Linked DNA regions of Caenorhabditis elegans. The protein of the gene in region 2 purifies or fractionates together with the protein of the main gene of each other region. This does not show direct contact. Each region holds a gene or a part of one and is shown on either strand. Other genes may lie near its edges.

Region 1 (5,534 bases), on a different chromosome or scaffold from region 2:
AGTTTACAGTAATCCCCCGTAAGTCTACAGTAATACTACCCCGTAAATTTACAGTAATACCCCGTAAATTTACAGTAATCCCCCGTAAATCTACACAAAACTCCGTAAATCTACAGTAATCCCTCGTAAATCTACACAATGAGCCTCCGTAAATCTACATTAACCCCCGTAAAACTACAAAATGCTTCCGTAAATCTTCACAATCATCCCCCGTAAATCTACAATAAGCTCCCGTAAATCTACAGTAATACCCCGTAAATTTACAGTAATACCCCGTAAATTTACAGTAATCCCCCGTAAATCTACACAAAAATCCGTAAATCTACAGTAATCCCTCGTAAATCTACACAATGAGCCTCCGTAAATCTACATTAACCCCCGTAAAACTAAAAAATGCTTCCGTAAATCTTCACAATCATCCCCCGTAAATCTACAATAAGCTCCCGTAAATCTACAGTAATACCCCGTAAATTTACAGTAATACCCCGTAAATTTACAGTAATCCCCCGTAAATCTACACAAAACTCCGTAAATCTACAGTAATCCCTCGTAAATCTACACAATGAGCCTCCGTAAATCTACATTAACCCCCGTAAAACTACAAAATGCTTCCGTAAATCTTCACAATCATCCCCCGTAAATCTACAATAAGCTCCCGTAATTCTACAATAATCCCCCGTAAATCCACACAATTCTCTTACAGTACTCCACACATCGCCGGCGCTCGTCAACTTTCTTCCCTTGGAAATGCTCGAATCCATCCAAACTTCCACGATTTTACAGAATCTAAAAGTTAGTACGACACTCCGAAATCCCGCCGAAATTTTGGTGGCGCCAAATCAAAAAATTCAAAAATTTCAGCCGCCCACACCCAATCGACCGCCGTGCCGACCGCCGTCTTACTGGCCATTTGTAGATCACCATGTGACAAATTGGCAGGAATTCCGATTTCAGGCCGAGCAGGCCCGACAGGAGACGGTTTTGAGGAGGCTTAAAAAGTAGATTCTAGGAAATTTCTAAAAAAAATGCTCCAATTTTCCTGTAATTTTCAGATTACGCCCACCGTCGCACGCCGAGCTCCGCCGAGAGCGGATTACTGTAGAAAATGTGGATTTTCACGTGTTTTCGCCAGCCTCTTTCTCCCATCGGCTACCAGCTCGGCCGTTGTTCTCACTAATTTGTTATAGGTGAGCATTTTCGAATTTTTAACCAAAAAATTTGAAATTCCCGGCCTTTTTTTAACCCGGGAAAGGAGAAATTTTCAAATTTTCCGCTTTTTCAGCGCCACCGGACCACCGCTGAAAATTTCGGAGCTCGCCGAGCTCGAAAACGTGGTCTTCGCGATGGAAGAGGCCGGAAAAGTGAATTTCGTTGCGATGAGTGGAGCGTCGATTGATCTCAATAATTATTTGTGTTGATTTATCGATTTTTTCGCTATTTTTATCGTATTTGTTGCTCTATTTTTCCCCCGAAGTTGTTCAATTTTCAATATTCTTGTTCAAACTTCCGCCCAAAAAACTTGCCGGTTAAACTGGGCGCGGGTACGTTATTTCGTTATTTCGGAGTGTTGTTGTTTTGAATTTTATCGGAAATCGTTGTGAAATAGGGGTTTTTAGTGGTTTTAATGAATTTTTTTTTGAAAAATTGGTTTTTTAAACTAAATTTTGATTTAAATTTAGGTATTTCACCAGGAAATATCGATTCTCAAAAGAAAATCTCCGAAACTCGGTGGTCCGCTAAACAACACGCGCCATCGGGATTTCGGAGCTTCGTTGTTTCTATTTTATTTATATTCAGTTTTTACCATTTTTTTTCTTGATTTTTCTATATTTGAAGGTGTTTTTTTGTGTAAATAATCGAAAAGATGGTAACAATTAAAAATATGTTTCTTCCAGATTGTCGGAATTTTGCAATGGGAAAAGGAAAACATCGAGTTGTGAAGCCACGAAGAGCGGATAAACCGCCGAAAGAGCGAAATGTGGAGGAAGAAGTTGAGACAGAAGAGGAAGAAGAGGATATCGAAGATGAATCCACATCGGAGCCGGGCTCAGAAGACTCTGACGACGAGCCGGAAGAAGACTACAAATTCCCATTTCGTCTGGCGATGTACGATTTTAATCAGTGCGATCCGAAGCGATGCTCCGGGAGAAAGCTTCTTCGTGCGAATTTGATCACAGAAGTGAAGCTCGGGCAACGATTTCCCGGATTAGTGCTCAGTCCAACCGGAACGTACACATTGGCTCCGCGAGACCGTCCATTTGTCGAACAGAATGGGCTCTGCGTTGTGGATTGCTCATGGAAGGAAGTCGAGAGAACTCCGTTGCATAGGTGCGGGAAAACGCATTAAATCGAGGAAAATCTGGAAAATTTTAGAATTCTGGAAATCTGTTATAAAAAAAAATTTTCGACGAAACATTTTTAAAAAATCCATTTTCAAATATTTTCAGTGGAAAGTCGCTTCAAAATCAGCATTTTTGAGGATTTTTCTCAATTTCTCAGTGAAAAATTTCAAATTTTAAATAAAAACCTGAGAAATTCAGAATTTCTAAATTTAAATGTTAGAATCCCCCGTAAATCCACACAAAAACCGTGCGTAAATCCACATGATGTTCTCGTAAATTCACACAAGTCTCCTCCCGTAAATCTACATGAAATTTTATTGCTTGCTTTAAGCTCTGAAAAATCTCAATTTTTTTCAAAAATAAAAACCACAAAAAAAATTGCCTGAAAAATCTAAAATTTTAAAATTTTAATTCCTTGTGGCAAATGTGCTCTACTGATAATCTAGGTGTTAATAATGTTATTTTTACTAAAAATAACATGATTAACATCTATGACTATCAGTAGTTCACATTTAGTCACGCGTAGGGGGAACCTCTGCCCAAAATTTCATTACTCCACCTCAACAACTTAGGAAACTTAATAATGTATTATTAAAGCCATTATCTTCTCATACAAAAAGGATTTATTGTAAAATATTATCCTTTATTAAACATTCTCGATTTTATTTTCAAAAAACTGCAACAAAAAAAAATGGCTAAAAAGTTAGAAATTTCAAGTTTCGGGTCTCGCCACGAAATTGTCTGGGTTACTGTAGTTTTCATGGTGGGGCCCACGATTTTTTATCAAATATGATGAAAAATTGGTAATGGCTATACTCAAATAGAACATTTGAATAAAACTCAAAAATTTTGAAAAAAAAACTAAATTTAATAAAGTTATGGGGTGATTCAAGTAGTGTAGCAAAATGTATTTAAATACATGTTTTTATATACTTGAATACAGTTGTGACGTAATTTATCAACACTTTTTAATTTTCCGACATTACTTGAATAACCCCATAACTTTATTAAATTTTTCTGAAAAAAATCGAAAATTCGCAAAACATGAAATTTTCTGTGGCAAATGTGATCTATCGATAATCTAGATGTTAATTATGTTATTTTTTTTACCAAAAATACCATTATTAACACCTGCGACTATCAGTAGTTCACATTTAGTCACGCGTAGGGGGAACCTCTGCCCAAATTTTCATTTTCCCCTAAAAAACTTGCAATTTTTCCAGAGTAAAAGCCCCGGAGCACCGTCTTCTTCCATATTTGGTGGCAGCCAATTCAGTCAACTACGGAAAACCATGTCATCTAACATGTGCCGAGGCGATGGCCGCCGGTCTCTACATTTTAGGCTTCCAGGAGGCCGCAAGCCGCCTCATGAAGCCCTTCTCCTGGGGAGATCACTTTATTGAGCTCAACAAAGAGCTTTTAGATCTCTACGCGGCTTGTGATACACCGGAAGACGTGATTCGAGCACAAAATGAGTATTTGGAGAGAATCGATAAGGAACGGGAGCAACATTCCCGGGATATTGATCTACCGCCGAGTGGTAGTGATGAAGAATATGAGGATGAGGAAGAAGTGGAAGAATTGAAGAAATGTGAGGATTTTCGACTGGAAATTCTGAAAAAGCGAAGAAATTTGACATAAAACTGAAGAATATTGCAAAAATTTCAAATTTTTGATCATCGAAAATTTTAAATATTTGCAAATTTACTAAAAATCACTAGAGATTTTGGTTTTTTTTCACAATTTTACTGAAAACTGAAAAATTCTAATTTTCGTTCATAATTCGTACGAAATTATTTAATTTTTCGGAAAAAAAAATTGAAAATTAACTGAAAATCACAGTTTTCATAAAAATTCTTTGAAAACCTTTAAAAAAAAAATTTTTTTTTTTGAGAAAATCGATAAAAATTTGAATTTTTGAGAAGTTTTTCTATATTTCAATTTCAATTTTCCAAGAAAAAATATTAAAAAATTGAATTTTCTGAAAAAAAAATTTGAAAAAAATAATTAAATGTTTTCTTCAGTTTTCTGGGGAAAAAATATAAGAAATTTATTTTTCTAAAAAAACATTTTTTTATTTCTATAAAAATGCGTATTTTTCGGGGAAAAGACGATAAAATTTTAAATTTTCCAAAAAAAAAAGTTGAAAAAAAATTTGAAAATTCGAATTTTAGGAAAAATGACAAAAAAATTGGAATTTTCTGTGATAAACGAATAAAAATTAAAGTTTTAAGGAAAAATTTATTTTTAAAAATTTAACTTTTCTTTTTAGAAAAGTCACATATTAGACCGAAAAAATTGAATTTCTCGCTCAAAAAATCGAGAAAAACGCATTTTTATATCAAAATACCCTAAAATTTATAAAAAATTCCACAAAAAATAATATTCCCGCTCCAAAAATCGAGAAAAAAAAAATTTTTTTAGTGCAAAAAATCCCTAAAATTAATTTTTAAATAATAATTCCTTCAAAAAATTCAAAATTTTCAGAAAATCTCCCCATTCACTGCCGCCGAGCTTCATCAATTTCTGCACATTGTCATTTTTCGTTGGATTTTTTTTTGATAATTTTTTTCCTTAATTTTTCGTTTTTGTTATTGTTTGTTATTCATGTTTCTTACTTGATTTCCGGTTTTTTCTCTCATTTCCCCGCCAAAAAAAAATTGGAAAATTTAATAAAAATTTCAGGTAAAAAATTCAAAATGACAGCGGCGACGACAAGCTCCGACTCGGAAGGCGAAATGGATTTTGAGACGACAATTGAGACGGGATTCGGGTATCAAATCGATGGATTACTGTATCAGGGAGCCGAGGCGAAAGTTACAAAGTGTATTTGGTTGGGAAGGCAGGCTATTATCAAAGAAAGGTTCGAAAATTCGACGAAAATCGGCTAAAAATTAGCAAAATTCGGTTAAAATCTCACTTTTTCACACAAAAATTCAAATTTCCCTCTGTCCGTACGCTGCATGTGCGCTCCACTGAGAAAACTCAAAAATTCAAATGTCAAAAAAAAAGTTCGGAAAAAGTTGACAAAACACTCGAAAATATCTAGAAAAATATGAAAAATCGTGCATTTTCACTCGCAAATTCAAATTTCCTGTCTACCGCAAGATGCAAATGCGCTCCATTGAATCAATTGTGACTCTTACACTTTTAATTCAAATTTTCGTAAAAATTTGGCACAAATCCCACAAA
Region 2 (5,581 bases):
GCCTTTGCTTCGCAACGTAGTTTGCTGACACTCACCCTCACTGTTTCTGGTTCTCATTGCATTTAAAACGGGCATTTTTGCTATTTTCTGAGTGCAATGTGTGTATGTATGTATGTCTAAGGTCAGAACAAAAACTCAATGAAAATGAGGACTGTCAATCATCTGACTGGTTTTTGTGGAACAATATTGAAAAAAGTAGTGGAGAATTTTGGACGATGGAGTTTTGAAAATTATGAGCTTGGACAGGAAAAAACGTTTTGCAATGAGCAACTAGACATGTGACCTACAAGATAAAATTTCCGGAAATTCATATATATACATATATATATATATGTGTGGGCATATTACAAAACAATAAAAAATTTTACTAAATACGATGCTAAAACCAAAAATATATAGATCCTTGGCATCCGAGGCAAAACATCCTAAATCACTGCAGAGTTGAACGCTTTTTACAACAAACATTTAATTATTTCATTTGTTCTTTATTATATATTAGGGTCACTTGTAGCATAAAACAATGCCGTATTGAAATTCCAAAAAAGTTTATTTTGAACGAAAACATTGTGTCTAACTAGAAGAAACTACCAAGCGGCAACCATTAAAATGTCATGAAAAGAAGTGTTTAAGGTGTGATAACAATACGTGAAAAATAAGAATAGGTAGATCAAAAACGTGATTTTTTTACAGCTCCTTTCTAGACTTCTTTCCCTTTGGAGTTGGTGGTGGTGCTGGTGGCTCTGGCTCATCATCATCATCATCTGAAATTATTTTTTATAGATTTTTAGTTGAAAAAGTTATTCACCATCAAGAGAAATAGATCCGGAAAGAATCTGATCGATCCATGATTGGAGAGCCTCGAAGTTGGAGTCGGAGTGTTTCTTTGGATCATCCAAATTCACTTGAGACATATCGAACCAGATTCCTTCTTTCTGAAATATACATTCTATTAATTGACAAATAAAATAGAGTCTGCTACCTCAGAAATATCAATAAGTCCGATTTGAGGTCCTTCCTCAATATCGATTCCGAACATATCCTCCCACACATCAACCATAAGTGGGAACTCATCAGGGTCGACAAGAATGATTTCCAGGGTTCCAGCGTGCTCGGAGTTCTCATCGGCGATCTTGTCAAGGAGCCTCTTCATGGCTCTTCCCTCACGGGTTTCCTCGTCAACGAATGCCAAGATCATTCTCTCCTCCTCTTCGGGATCTCTCTGGAGCACGATTATTTTTTTCTAGCAAGGATATAAACTTTACATACCCAAAGGTTGAAGTAATTGTCAAGGGTGAGTTTTTGCATAACTGGCTCCTTGTTCTTCTCAACCCAGTCTTCGAATTCTTCCTCGGTATCAGCGGAAGTTGGGGCGAAAAGTGGATCTTCCTCAAATGGTCTGCGCATTTGGACCTCTCCGACTCTCTTTAGTCCGACTTTGCGTGCCCACTAAAAATACATTTATTAAAGAATATCGATTTTAAGTTATTTTTTTTCAAGTACCATATTTGATATTTAAGCGTGAAAATTGGGGTACATATAATAATTCAAAAATGAAAAATCAACATCTATTATACTTTTTCATAATACATTTTTGAAAAAAAATGCTCTCAACACTTACTTTAGATGTCACAACTGCGAAGAATTCGATCTCTCCCATAAAGTCTTCAGCGGCTTCCTCGAACTCCTTGAGAGCTGAAATTCTTTTAAAATTTATGCATGACAGCTTGTTCACATTCCGTACCAACTGATCCTGGCTCAAAGTATCCAATAATTCTGACACATTCGTCATCCATATTTTCAAACTCTTCCAAGTCATGTTCATCATTGATAATAGTCACTGGATCGTCTGGGATCTTAAATTGAAAAATAATTTATGGAATTAGCAAAAACTTAATAAATAACGTACATCCATCAGCCATGAAACAAAAGTTTCTGGATCACGAACACCATTGTACTCGATCTTGTAACCATCCTTGTACACGTGAATAGTGTCCTCTCCCTTTTCAACTTCTGAAATTTTGAATCAAGAATTAATGAAGAATTAGAAGGTTAACCAATTCTTAAATGTTTTTTTATTTAAATTAAGTTTCCACAAGTTTTGTGAAGCTTCGACAACATAAAATGATTAATTGGTAAAAATAATATTCGATTATGGTCCATTCTCGGAAACGTCACACTACGTGCTAAATGTTAAATTTTCCGTGAATTTCAAATTCTGAACTTTTATAAAAATATTTTATAAATCAAATTAACAAAAAAAGTAAAATTTGACACCTGTAGCAGCCACTATGAATGAGATCGTGACGAGACCCACTTTAAAAAATCAATTCATGACTTTAAACGGACATTTCAAAATTTCGTAGCATTACAATGTGGGTACATATAAATGAGATATGCACCAACTTACGAAAAAGAAATGTACAATCTTGCCAAAAAAGATATGTACCAACTTTCAAGAAATGGAAAAATATGAGGTAAAACATCATATTTCTATTTTTACTTTTGGCATAGAACAATTAATTTTTAGCAATACGTACGTTTCAATAATTATAACCATGTAATACAAATATTGAATTTTTTGAAAACATGACACAAAAATATGGAATATTTTTTAAGTTTTTGTGGAACAGCAAATGTTTACCTTCCTGCTTCCTCAAGCGATGTTCTTTGGTGGTGTTGACAGTGTAAAAGTTGTATCCTCTCTTGGTCATAATTTGAGCAGACAACTAAAATTCATAAATTAAAAATAAACTATCAAATTTTGAATTTCACCTGAAGGAAGCACTCATACTGGTCAAGCTCTGAGTCGTCCTCTTCCACGTCGTTGAAGAACACTACCGATTTGGTGTCTTCAGCGAAAACAGTTCTGTTGAAGTTCTTCTCGGTCAGAACCTGCAATTATTGATTTTTTTTTGTTGAGTGAAGATGAATATCTGTTGCAGTGTAATATGATAGGTTGGTTCGAAAACCCCGGATGTCGAAAATTTTGTTATAGGTCAAGTTTTGCTAGAATGACGCAATTGTTTACTGACATTGTGAAGTTAAATTAATGTCTTGTTATTGAGTAATTTAAGTTAAAGAATTAAATGAAAAATGATGATCAAGATAGTCGAGAACAATTGTTCTCAAAATTTTTTAGTTTTGAACTATAGGAACTAACTATAGGAATCTATAGTCTGCTTAGAAGTTGTTTTTATTTAATTATTGATAATTTTAAACTCAAATATTATCGAAAAATACGATCGCACAATTTTCTCATAATTTATTTTTGATCTACCTTGTTGACGAGGCTCCTCCCCTTCCTTCGACAAGACAGCCACAACAAAATAACAACGGCGACAAGATTGGGGGCGGAGACAACAGGTAGATCAAAAGTAAATTATGAGAAATGTGTGCGATCGTATTTTTTCGATAATACTAATGAATAATGTTTCAAAAAAATTTTTTAAAAAAATCGCTTCTAACCAAATAACTATTAACTATACCTTCTAGTTAGTGGATAAATTGTTGAAAAATCTAGAAACTTGTTCAGTTTTGGTATTTTGGTAATTTTGGATTCTAAAAAGTTGATTGACTCTAAAATAATATTTTTATTGGCAAATTTGAACGGAAAAAAAGCCTAAGAAGGAAAAAGAAAAAAAGCCTGAAAGTTCACTGGCAATTCTCGCCAACTCTTGCCAACTAAAATTGACAAAATTGACAAAATTCTCATTTATTTCTATGTACATTCATTTTTGATTTGTAAAAAAAAAAACAAAATCGGTAGTTTTGCAGATTTTCAGAAAAGATTTGCAGAATGGACAAAATAGACATTATAAATCCTATATCCAAATAACTCACCTCAGTTCTGTCGAATCCGTCGTATTCGAGATCTGGATATCCTAAGAACATGCATTCCAAGTCTTCGTTTTTGGAGATGCCTGCACTTGCAAGCACAACCACTAGCGCAAGGCTAGCAAGTTTGATCCAAGTCATTCTAAAGACAACGCAACTTATTTTTTGCTGTAGAAAAAAGCGAGAGATAAAAGGAAGGAAGGATGTGCATGGAGATCTTTTCAAAAAAAGAAGACAAAAAAGTGACACGAAACAAGGATAGAAAAGTCAAAGGGTATAGTGTGTGGAAAAGGTCCGCGCTAGCTGTTGGCGGCTGCTGCATTGGCACTGATGTTCTTCTCTTTGATCGCTATTCTTACACAATTCCACTGCCATCCGCGGGGCCCCGCCAGCTTTCGTTGTAAAGGGGGGAGCTGAGAATAAGCTTGATACCGAGGTAGCGAAACGAGCACAGCAGGAAGCTCCTGAGGCGCCTTTTCCTCCGGTGACTGATTGACTTTACACTATATATTTGTCGAGATGAAAACAAAAACTACGTGAAAGAAGATGAAGAAGCTGAAGGAGTGTGGGCGAGATTGGAGGTGAGGCAACAGTGTTTGTGGGGGCAATTGGAAGAGTTCATATCTCTAATAAATCAATAACGTGAGGGGAACATGCAACTTTCCAACTTTTTTCATAGCTGGCAACTTGAAAATAACCGTACAAGCATTCAAGTAGATGTTTGCATAGGAGAAAAACACATGAAACATGATATCATTCCTCACACTGTCTACTTTGAAAATTTAAATACACTTAATAAAATCGCGCAGCCGACATTCACTGAGACTCGCGTCGAACCACAGTAAATCCGTTTAGGGCGTTACATAGAATCCATCAAAAGTTTACCACCAAAAACACTTTATTCTCATATTTAGGCTTAGGAATTACCACTTTAAAATGTTATTGAGGATCGAAAATAGTGTAACAATAGTAAAGAAACATAAGTGTTTGAGTTACAACTTTTCGGGGTTCAGCTACTGTAAATTAATTAACTGAGTTCTGGATTAAATATTTAGTTTCGAAGTGTCTCTAAATTTCGGAATAAAATTGTTTTAAAAATATGTTTCAATTATAATTCGAACACGGAAAAATTGTTATACTGAAGGATATCTTCAAATTAGAGGGAATTAACAGAACAGAACAAAGGTAACATGATTTCCAAGTAACAGCTCATATTTCGGTGCCAACATTTTTTTGCACCGAAACATTTGTTTTTAAATCAACTTTTCGCAAAAAAAAAGTGTTCCTCATCTGCCCACACATCTGGCAAAGAATATCTATAGCATTCGGCTTTCAAAAACCAAACGGCAGTCTTCATCATAACCAACCGACTGACGTCACTGCTCGAAATAATTTTTCATCTTCGACGTAGAAATTTGCGAAATGAAATCAATCGGTACCGCTAACTAATACTGCCATTCGCCCTACTCCTCATCTTGCTCAATAAATCGGCAAACATATCACCCTCTACCCGCTTGGTAGGGGGGCACATTTATCCGAATTTATTTGCGTCTGCGATCACTCAAGCCAACACACCACACAAAAACTTGATTTTTCAAGGATTGATCAGTAAATCAGCGATCGGGGTAGTATTATGGGATTTGCATTTCGTTTGTGGAATTAGTGAATTGACGTGGCAAGGAAGAATCTGGTAAAGCAAACGTTTTATGTGGTATCGTTGAGAATCTGGATTTGGAAATTGAAAAAT

Evidence for each region. Proteins that work in one complex are often made in the same cells at the same time.
Region 1: the proteins of csq-1 (region 2) and F52C12.2 fractionate together in Caenorhabditis elegans (co-fractionation; one large-scale study listed by BioGRID). This does not show direct contact.

The regions. Positions count from the first base shown.
Region 1 is NC_003282.8:1,951,684-1,957,217, forward strand, and holds F52C12.2 (18S rRNA aminocarboxypropyltransferase), read left to right. Parts: upstream 1-1,895; 5' UTR 1,896-1,912; coding exon 1,913-2,328; intron 2,329-3,565; coding exon 3,566-3,933; intron 3,934-4,829; coding exon 4,830-4,831; 3' UTR 4,832-5,026; downstream 5,027-5,534. Other genes in the region: tsen-54 (tRNA-splicing endonuclease subunit Sen54 N-terminal domain-containing protein), read left to right, coding at 704-792, 862-998, 1,053-1,187, 1,283-1,418; F52C12.6 (non-specific serine/threonine protein kinase), read left to right, coding at 5,042-5,205.
Region 2 is NC_003284.9:14,683,272-14,688,852, reverse strand, and holds csq-1 (Calsequestrin), read right to left. Parts: upstream 3,977-5,581; 5' UTR 3,976-3,976; coding exon 3,841-3,975; intron 2,893-3,840; coding exon 2,773-2,892; intron 2,727-2,772; coding exon 2,642-2,726; intron 2,011-2,641; coding exon 1,907-2,010; intron 1,854-1,906; coding exon 1,742-1,853; intron 1,693-1,741; coding exon 1,619-1,692; intron 1,447-1,618; coding exon 1,267-1,446; intron 1,220-1,266; coding exon 980-1,219; intron 933-979; coding exon 806-932; intron 762-805; coding exon 685-761; 3' UTR 531-684; downstream 1-530.